2 linked regions of the Callithrix jacchus genome follow. The protein of the gene in region 2 interacts with the protein of the main gene of each other region in a pairwise test. Links are inferred from orthologs where the notes say so. Each region holds a gene or a part of one and is shown on either strand. Other genes may lie near its edges.

Region 1 (4,935 bases), on a different chromosome or scaffold from region 2:
ATGCTGTTAGCTTTTCCCTGACAGCAGACATTCATTTCATAAGAAGATGGTCTAGGCTGGGTGCAGTGGCTCACACCTGTAATTTCAGCACTTTGAAGGCCAAGGTGGGTGGATTACGAGGTCAAGAGATTGAGACCATCCTGGTCAACATAGTGAAACCCCATATCTAATAAAAATACAAAAATTAGCTGGGCTTGGTGGTGTGTGCCTGTAGTCCCAGCTACTTGGGAGGCTGAGGCAGGAGAATTGCTTGATCCCAGGAGGTGGAGGTTGCAGTGAACTGAGAACGCGCCACTGTACTCCAGCCTGGTGACAGAGCGAGACTCTGTCTAAAAAAAAACGAAGATGGTCTATATATGCCATAATCATCATTAATTAATTTTCAAAGTTGCTTATAAAAGAGGTGGAGATGTTTATCTTGGCTTCCACTAAGGAAAAGGAGATATATTTTTCCACATCCAGTTTGCTTGGATCCTGGTTGGTAAAGAGGTACCAGGCCATGCAACTAAAATGATTCCATGGCAAGGATATTGCTTGATGCTAGTTGTTCATTTACAGGTAGCTTTTGAAAATGGCTGCCTCTCATTTCACCGGGCTCACAGCTGTTGCTGATGTAATTAAAGATCTAGACACTCAGATAGCTGTAAGTAGGTTTGAGGCTACTGTGGGCAAAACTTGGTGAATGTGCTTCTGATTGTCATGACCCCCAAGCTGACGTCCACAGAGTAAACCTCATGGCTCTAAGATTCAGGAGTCTCAGCTGCTTCAGGCTAGGGTGTCTGCATGTACTTAGATTGCTAACACTCCGAGAAAAATTGCTGTTGACAAAAAGGAGTTTACTTTTAACAACAGCTAAAATTTATGTTTTTGGGGCATACCCCCGACATAAACTTAAGCATGTTTGAAATGCCAAAATGAACTAGTCTGTATTGTTAAGCTTTGTGACTGATTTTTTTAAAGGATGTGATTGTGCCATGACTTATTTGAATTTAACATTATTTGATACTTTAAAAATAATGCATGTAGTACTTAACTATTTTTACAAAGTTCTCAAAAATGTCTTGCTTATTCTAGTTTATTTTTATTTTATTTTATTTTATTTCATTTTATTTTTAGACAATGTCTCACTCTGTCACCTAGGCTGGAGTGCAGTGGTGGTATGATCACAGCTCATTGCAGCCTCAGCTTCTTGGATTCAGGCAATCCTCCTCCCTTAGCCTCCCGAGTAGCTAGGACTACATGCTAAGTGAGTCCAGTTAAGTGGGATTTTTTTTTTTTTTGAGATGGAGTTTCACTCTTGTTGCCTAGGCTGGAGTGCAATTGTGCAATCTCAGTTCAACGCACCCTCTGCCTTCCAAGTTCAAGCAGTTCTCCTGACTCAGCCTCTCAAGTAGCTGGGATTACACATGCCACCATACCTGGCTAATTTTGTATTTTTAGTAGAGACAGGTTTTCTTCATGTTGGCCAGGCTGGTCTTGAACTCCCAGCCTCAGGTGATCTGCCTGCCTGGGCCTCCCAAAGTGCTGGGATTATAGGTGTGAGCCACCATGCCCGGCCCCTAAATGGTTTTTTGTTTGGTTTGTTTGTTTGTTTGCTGAGACAGAGTCTCATTCTGTTGCCCACGCTGGAATACAGTGGCATGATCTTGGCTTACTGCAAGCTCTGTCTCCCATGTTCAAATGATTCTCCTGCCTCAGCCTTCCCAGTAGCTGGGAGGGATTACAGGAGTGTGCCACCATGCCCAGCCAATTTTTTTGTATTTTTGGTAGAGATAGGGTTTCACCATGTTGGTCAGGCTCATCTCGAACTCCTGACCTCAGTTAATCCACCCGCTTTGGTCTCCCAAGGTGCTGGGATAATAGGCGTGAGCCACCACGCCCAGCCCCAGCTAAGTTTTTGCAGATAGGGCTTCCCTATGTTGCCCAGGCTATTCTGTAACTCCTGGACTCAAGTGATCCACTACAGGCACCCAAAATGCTGGGATTACAATGAGCTACTGCACCCAACCCTAGTTTATTTTTGTACGTAAGATTCCTTATTTCATTTACTTTCTTCCTTGTTTCAATTTTGTGGTCAATTTTATTTAACATTTAGAGAAGAGATGGTTTCTAAATGTCAGGTGAAAGCAAAAACCATTCTTCATTCCCTCAATTTTTAACATGTAGGTATTAAATGGTCACCATTCCATATATACTGAAGAACTCTCAAAGTCTAACAGACCTGATTTTACTTGCTTTTTTTTTTTTTTTTTTTTTTGGTAGAGATGAGGTCTCACTATGTTGCCCAGGCTGGTCTTGAACTACTGGCCTCAAGTGATCTGCCCACCTGGCCCTCCCAAAGTGCTGGGATTACAGTTGTGAACCATTGCACCAGGCCTCTTTTTACTCTCAAGACTCATTCTTTATTACAGGTTCTTCTAGAACTAATTCTTATGCTTTTCTTCTTCAGTTAATTGGCCTTGGTCCTCACAGCTCCAAAAAGAAACAGGATCTCGATAAGCTCTATGAGCTGAAGTCCAAAGCTCGGCAGATTATGAACCAGTTTGGCCCCTCAGCCCTAATCAACCTCTCCAATTTCTCATCCATAAAACCGGAACCAGCCAGCACCCCTCCACAAGGCTCCATGGCCAATAGTACTACAGTGGTAAAGATACCAGGCACTCCTGGGACAGGAGGTCGTCTTAGCCCTGAAAACAATCAGGTATCATCCTCTTACTCTTTCTTCCCTGTAGCCACCTCTCACCTGTTATTTCAACCTGTAATACTTAAGAGATGTCCATCTTATATGCTGCCTTTTTCTCTTAGCCGAAAAGGTCTTTTCCGTCTTACGGATTTCTAAGTTTTTTGTTTGTTTGTTTTTTTTAAGGCTAGTCATGTTTGTTTGTTTTAATGTAAGTAGAGACTATATTTGGGCCAAATTTGAGGACCCCAACTCAGGAGACACAGATTCAGTTTGCCCTGAATATATGATCCTCTAACATTCTTTAGCAAATTATCATGTACAGTGTTTATCAAGTTTTACTGTGTTGTATATTGTTGTGTGTATGCATGTATCCATCCATCCATGCCTGTGGTAGGTTTTTTCTTTCATTTTGATAGGTGTTTTATATATATGTTAACTATATAGTTGTTAAATAAAATAATTAATTCATTTTTCCTATGATGGAAATACTCTTGGTTCTAGCCATTCCACCTTCTAGTTCATCCAATTCCTGCCATTATTAATTTTCTGCAGTGATTCTAAAATCTGCTCCCTTCTTTCTACCCATAATTCTGATTTTGCCTCCAGAGCCACAAGAAATAAGTATAATCTCTTTGAATTGGGTTTTGTAGGCTGTGAAGAAAAAAATGAATGAGTTGGCCCAGTATTTCAAGGGAATGAGTGAAGGAACTGGCAAAGGTTAATGAGGGATGGTTGGGCAGACAATCAGGAGATCAGTCTCTTTTGAATATGGAGTCTGTTATAGAAGACAGAATTTAAAATTGTATAGGTAGCGAGGCGTGGTGGCTCAAGCTTGTAATCCCAGCACTTTGGGAGGCCGAGGCGGGCGGATCACCTGAGGTTGTGTGTTCTAACCAACATGAAGATCAAGACTATCCTGGCCAACATGGTGAAACTCCATCTCTACTAAAAATACAAAATTACCTGGGCGTGGTGGCTCATGCCTGTATTCCCAGCTACTTGGGAAGCTGAGGCAGGAAAATTGCTTCAGCCTGGGAGGTGGAGGTTGCCATGAGCTGAGATCGCAACATTGCACTTCGGCCTGGGCAGCAAGAGAGAAATTCCACCTCAAAAAAAAAATATTGTCTAGGTAGGGTTATGGCAGAACATAGTGACCCTGTACTAGTAAGTTTCCATTGGAACTTTCAGGTAATATACAATCTTTGCAGATATTTAATAAAGAAGTAAAAGTATGTAATAAAAATAGTGTATTCTATAGAGTAGTAACTTGGCAGTAAGGGGACAGGATGGGTAGAAAAGGGGGTTAGACTGGGTGGATGACCAATTCTAAGACTTTTTCAATAAATCAAGACATGTAGTGAAGGCTTGAATTAGGTGATTAGGATAGAATGAAGAAGAATAGATAGATATGAGACATCATTAACTTTTATTTATTTTTTAGAGAAAGGGTTTTGCTCTGTTGCCCAGGCTAGAGTGCAATGGTATAATCATAGCTCACTATAGCCTCAAATTTCTGGGTTCAAGCAATCTTCCCACCTCAGTCTCCTGAGTAGCTAGAACCATAGGCATGCACCATCATGCTTGGTTAATTTTTTTTTTTTTTTTTGGAGAGACAAGGTCTTGCTGTGTTGCCCAGGCTGGCCTCAAGTGATCTTCCCTCCTCTGCCTCCCAAAGTGCTGGGATTACAGATGTGAGCCACCATGCCCAGCTGAATATTCATTTTAGAAAATTATTTTCAGCCGGGCATGGTGGCTTATGCCTGTAATCCCAGCACTTTGGGAGGCCAAGTGGGCGGATCACCTGAGGTTGGGAGTTTGAGACCAGCCTGTCCAACATGGAGAAACCCTGTCTCTATTAAAACTACAAAATTGGCCAGGTGTGGTGGCACATGCCTATAATCCTAGCTACACAGGAGGCTGAGGCAAGAGAATCACTTGAACCCAGGAGGCAGAGGTTGCAGTGAGCCGAGATTAAGCCATTGCACTCCAGCCTGGGCAAAAAGAGCAAAACTCTGCCTCAAAAAAACAAAACAAAAAAAAATATTTTCTTTTTTTCTTATTTTAAAAATTATACATGGTTATTACAGAAGCTGCAGAAATACACAAAAAATAAATAGCCCGTAATTCTAATGCCACCACCATGAAATAGCCATGGTTAGCATTTTAGTGTATGTCTTTTGTTTTTTTTTTCTCTTTCGTTCTTTTTTTTTTTTTTTTTTTGTAGTGGAATTTTACTAGAAGCTTTAGAGCAA
Region 2 (5,679 bases):
AGGTCCACCTATGTCCCAATCTTGATTTTGCAGCACACTAGCTGTGAAACACCGGGCAAGTGACGGCCTTATCTTTCTCATAAAGCTGAGATTAAAAAAATAAAGCATTCAGACAGCACACAGCAAACGTCAACTAATGACAATTATGTTTTCATTGTTAATAAGAAGATAATATTATCACTACCTGGAAATGTTTTCCAAAGTATAGTCATGGAACTACTGATATCAGAATGACCTGGATGTCTATTGAGGGGGAAAAAAAGGATTCCATGTCCCATCTCAACCTATTCAAAAAAGCTCTCTGAAAATGGTACAGAGTTACGGTCATTTCTGAATCAAACTTCTTGAGATGCCTATGAAAATTTCAGAATTATTGACCCAGCAGGTCTTGTATTGTATCATAGTAAATTAAGACTTGTTTTCCAATCCTTATTCTTTACTATGTCATAATTGCCCATTATCTGGGGTTTTTTGCAATGTGGCACATTTCTGGACATAGACGTCAAACTAACAGGCTCATAATCTTTGGGCTCACTCCAGTTTTTTCCCCCGAATGGTACGGTACTATTTTGACTTTTTTTCTTCCGACCAGAGGTCGGCAAGCTATGGCCTTGATCTGCAGCTAGTTTTGTACAACTCCAACCCTCAGAAAGTGTATGTGTTTGAAAAAAAAAAAAAAGAAAAGAAAGAAGAAAGGAAGAAGTATTAGTAGTTGATCAAGACCATACATTGCCCACAAAGTCTATAACATTTACTATCCGACCTTTACAGGAAAGACTTGCCAACCACTTTGTAGCCTATAATTAAATGCTTTTCAAAGTCAGGTCTCAACACAATTTAAAATAGAAATAATTGATTCAAATAGGAAATATCAAAAAGCACTGCATCTGACATAAGGAGTACCCGTACTATTGCCAAAGTTTCAGTTGTACACATATATGTGCCACAGGGATAATGATCAAATCCTATCTGTTTGCAGTCAAAAAGTTTTAAAGTCCTTGGGGCTGAGGCTGGGGAGTAAATAGAGCAATTGTTTAACAAGGTTAACTTGTTTAAGTCACATTGAGCAATTTTTACAGTAAAGGTGGCTTGGAGACTATAAAATGATCCCTGCTGTTCAGAAGTTAACAGCTTATTTCTTCACTACAAAATGAACATTAAATCTCTTCTGCGCACAATATATTATTTTAATAAGAAAATGGAATCATCAAAGGAAAGTACTTCAAATTTCTTATACAAACAAAAGAGTCTGATTATATTAACAACATATCATACAGAATATATATAAGATCTTTACCAAGTCCCTTAGTTCCTAGTTTTCTTCTGGGAAAAGAGTCTTTTTTTTCCCCTTGGTGTGTGTGCATGAACATGTGTGCATGCATCCAGAGCATAAAAGAAGTATTAGATACCTCTGCCCTTTCTGTAATCCGTTACTGGCTGCTATTTCCTATCTATTTAAAACATGCATTCTTTCATCTTTCTCTTGTTTCTGGTAAGAAAATCATTTGATTTGATTCTTGTGCAAAAACAATTAAGACTATGATTATCCCCTTGGGGAAACATTTAAAAGTCCAAAATTAAAATTGTAAGTAACAAGTTTCACTTTTATCTTCATGCAACATTAATTTCCAGGGTTTCTGAGATTTAGACAAGCTAAAAACACCTTAATTTTATAAACCATTTCAACATGCAATCCCGCAAAGAAAAGAAACATCTTCCTAGGAGCATACACAAGGGAATGAAATGACACTTTTAAAGGTTTTCATTTTATGAAATACACTGCGGACACACAAACCACAAGCAGTGTAAATAAATAAAAGCTGGTGCAATGGTGCATGCATGTTTGCCTTACACCACAAAGAGAAAACACTTGCACATTGCACTCCATGGTATTTTAGCTTGGGTTGCCATAAAAATGGGATTTGGGCATGTTGTGTAAATACAGGGGGGCTGTAAATGAGGGTGTGTGTCTGGGTGTGTTAGGGAAAGAAGGTTGTAAGCAAAAGGGGTGGGACTTGCCAGGAGCAGCTATTTGAGAAAATTCCTTTTTCTTTCCCATTCATTCTTTCTAGCTCTACTGTCTGGCACAGTCCTTACAATTACTCACTGGCTTTTCATTCTAAAGACAATCAACAAGGCTTCAGAACTTCCTACACTGTTTTTTTTCTCATACGCTTTAAAAAAAAATAAAGCACCAAATAATTCAATATGTTCTTTATATAAAAAGCAAACAATTAACCTGTTTCCTCGTTCCAAAGACCCCCGTGGGTTTCAGACTAATAGGATCCTTTGTTACATGTCCAAAAATAACACAACATGGTATTGGTAAATTGGAAAATAACAGACAACTCTTATCTAAGGATGTCAGAGCTATTGGCCATAAATTTTGTTCTGCCCCAGTGAGTCCAATTTCAAGCCTCTTTCAATGATCTACCGTCCTAACAGTAAAGCCAGTCACATTAAACACCGTTCGCCTTTTCTCTTTTGACATTCCATTAATACAAGAGCTGAAAGAAGACGCCAAGTGGGCCAGTTTCTTTATGCACAATGATGGTATCCTCCAAGCGAAATACCTCCAACCACAGCGAAAGTTGTCTTTCTAGCAGATGCCCACCCCAACCGGCCCAGGCAGAGGGGGCAGAAGGGCAGAGGAAAGCGTAACCTCCCAGCTCTCCCACCTCCAGAGGAAGGGAAGAGGGTATGACAAGGGAGCAGAGTAGGAAGGTGGGCGACTGGGAGAGACAGAAATGGATGCTGAGGGGGTGGGCGAGATGGGAAGGTAGGAAAAGGTGGCGAATGCGTGGAGAGGTGGGTGCGCAAAGCAGCAGGATCCGAGAGCACAGTGGGGAGCGGTAGGGGACAGTGAGGGGGTCCGTGGGCGCGGAGAGGGTCCGGTCCTCACCATTGAACGCCCCTGCGTCTGCGGGCGCCGCCTCCTCCTCCTCCCCGTCCTCGGAGTCGGAGTGCATGGGCTCCTCGGCGAAGTTGACCCCCTTGCTGGGGGTGCCGCCCCCGGCAGCGGCGCCCGTGTCCCCCCAGGTCCTGCCCTCATGGCTGAAGCGCGCGGTGCCTTTGCGCTCGTTCTCCTGCTGCAGGCGCGTGAAGTGCTGCAGCGCGAACTCTAGCAGGTCCGCGGGCTGGTGCCTCAGCACCTCTACCGTGAAGCCCTGCAGCAGCTCCGTCAGTCCCGCCGGAATCTCGATGCTCATCCTGCTTCCCCGGCGGCAGGCGCCCGGGCGCCGCCCTCGCCCCCTCCCCGGCCCGGCCTGGGGCCCAGCGGCTGCCTAACGAGTACCAACGGCGCTGGCGGCGCTACCGGCTGCGAGCGCGGCGCACTGGGCCCCGGCGGCCCGGCTGGCCCGGCCCGCGGCTCCTGGCGCGCGGCTGCTCCGTGTGGCGGCGGCGGCTGAGCGAGCGCGGCCCCGGGAAGGCTGGCAGCATCTCCTGCTCCTCCCGGTCCCGCCGCGACCGCGCCTCTCCCCCGCCCGGTCGCCCCGCCCCCGCCCCACCGCGGCGCGCGGGAGGGGGCGCGGGAGAGCGCGCCCACGTGACCCCCGGAAACCATGGCAACCTCCGCCGGCAGGCGCCGCGCACCCGCGGTTCTGACCGCGCCAGGGTGGAATGCGCTGGCGGGCGGCGCGCCGAGGGCTGGGAGGGGAGCCCTCGCGAGGCCGCCTCGGTGTCCACCTGTCCGCGTGTCCGGGAGCTTGCTAGCCACTCGCCCCGCTTCCCACGCAAAGCTGGTGCCAAGCGATTTGTCGTGAAACTTCAGCCTCCACCTTAGTAGTGGCATTTTATTTTCCTTTTAGAATCTAGCTGCATGATAAGTGTTGTTAATGTCCTTTGTTTGAAGGCTTATGGTGGTACTGGTTCTCTTTTGGACAAAGAAATGCTACCCCATCTTTGTGACGTCTTTCTTTTTCTTCCACCACATTTTATCCAGCCTTTCCTCACCCATCCTGTTTATTATCTTTTTGCCTTACTGATGCTATTTCGTTGTGCACTCCATGCATTTACTATTTACTGAGACAAAGGCACCATTTATTGTGAGGCACCTATCGAAATTAGTCGATCTCCTTCAAATAGGATAGTGCTGGGTGAGGCGCTGATTATTTTAAAACTTTATACTTTGAGTGATTTTGACTTCATCTCCAAAAATTGAAACACTTCGGTATCAAGGAAAATAGAATGACGAATGTGTGCTTTTAAAGTAGAAGTTTTTCACTTTGAAATTAGGCTCACTTTGCAAATGTTTACAATTTTGAAGTAGAAAGAATTGACTTTTGTCAATTAAATATTATTTAAGTACGCATACTTCATTTTTTACAATTACCATATCATTGTAAATAAAATAGTTTAAAAGCAAGCTCGCTTGCTTATTCAGATTTATCTTCCCACCCACGGAAGAGTAAACACATGACTGGGGACTAGAAATCAGAGCTGTAACAAACTAGGCCCTTTGGTAAAAATGGATCTTGATGTTAACCTTTTGTTAATGATGCACCCTATATTCACTCCATGAGCCACTGTATTTCTCTATTTTCATTTCTTATCAACTTCATAGTAATAATGTTGTTTTTAAATATATAGTAATAAAGAACTTCTAATTGGGTCAAACTTTTTTTTTTTTTTTTCTTTTTTTGAGACGGAGTTTCGCTCTTGTTACCCAGGCTGGAGTGCAATAGCGCAATCTCGGCTCACCACAACCTCCGCCTCCTGGGTTCAGGCAATTCTCCTGCCTCAGCCTCCTGAGAAGCTGGGATTACAGGCACGCGCCACCATGCCCAGCTAATTTTTTTTGTATTTTTAGTAGAGATGGGGGGGTTTCACCATTTTGACCAGGTTGGTCTCGATCTCTTGACCTCGTGGTCCACCTGCCTCAGCCTCCCAAAGTGCTGGGATTACAGGCTTGAGCCATCGAGCCCGGCTGTGTCAAACATTTTAAGAATTAAACTTTTATAAAATATGGTGAGAGTGGTGGCTCAAACCTGTAATCCCAGCACTTTGGGAGGCCAAAGCGGGCAGATCACCTGAGGTCAGGAGTTGGAGACCAGCCTGACCAACATGGAGAAACCCTGTCTATACTCAAAATATGAATTTAGCCGGTCAGCTGAGGCAGGAGAATCGCTTGAATCCGGGAGGTGGAGGTTGCAGTAAGCCGAGATCGGGGCATTGCACTCCAGCCTGGGCAACAAAAGCTAAACTTCATCTCAAAAAAAAAAAAATACGGTGAGCCTCACATGTCACTGCTTGGAGCACAATGTTAGTACTACTTTCCACCATGTAAGCATTATTATTTTTATGGATCTGGTAACCTAAGATGCATGTGTATCACTTGTCTTCATTTGTGATAATATTTGTATTAATTATGATTAGCATTGCTCACATGTCGCAGAAAATGCAAAATGCAATAGCTTAAGATAGAATTGTACTTCTCTGGAAGGTAAATGTGCACAGTTCAGGGTTGGTATGGTGCTCCTTGATCATTAGGGACCCACGTTCCTTCCAGCTCATTGCTCTGTGATCCTGTTTGTGGTTCAAAATGGCTCCTCCAGAGCCAGTCATATTTTAGCTAAGAGGACAGTGAAAATGAGAAGGGAAGCTCCCATCCCTTCCCCAAAACACATACTCTTTAAGGACACTTCTAGGAAGGTAAACACACCAATTCCTCTTCTGTCC

The links.
Region 1: the proteins of PRKAR2B (region 2) and TAF12 interact in binary tests that used the Homo sapiens proteins (3 or more experiments, as listed by UniProt). The two-hybrid records come from large-scale screens. The link is inferred for Callithrix jacchus from reciprocal best matches to the Homo sapiens genes PRKAR2B and TAF12.

The regions. Positions count from the first base shown.
Region 1 is NC_133508.1:65,288,612-65,293,546, reverse strand, and holds part of TAF12 (transcription initiation factor TFIID subunit 12), read left to right. Parts: intron 1-558; 5' UTR 559-571; coding exon 572-643; intron 644-2,449; coding exon 2,450-2,701; intron 2,702-4,935. UniProt on the Homo sapiens protein: The TFIID basal transcription factor complex plays a major role in the initiation of RNA polymerase II (Pol II)-dependent transcription.
Region 2 is NC_133512.1:77,494,568-77,500,246, reverse strand, and holds the start of PRKAR2B (cAMP-dependent protein kinase type II-beta regulatory subunit), read right to left. Parts: upstream 3,447-5,679; 5' UTR 3,210-3,446; coding exon 2,903-3,209; intron 1-2,902. UniProt on the Homo sapiens protein: Regulatory subunit of the cAMP-dependent protein kinases involved in cAMP signaling in cells. Type II regulatory chains mediate membrane association by binding to anchoring proteins, including the MAP2 kinase.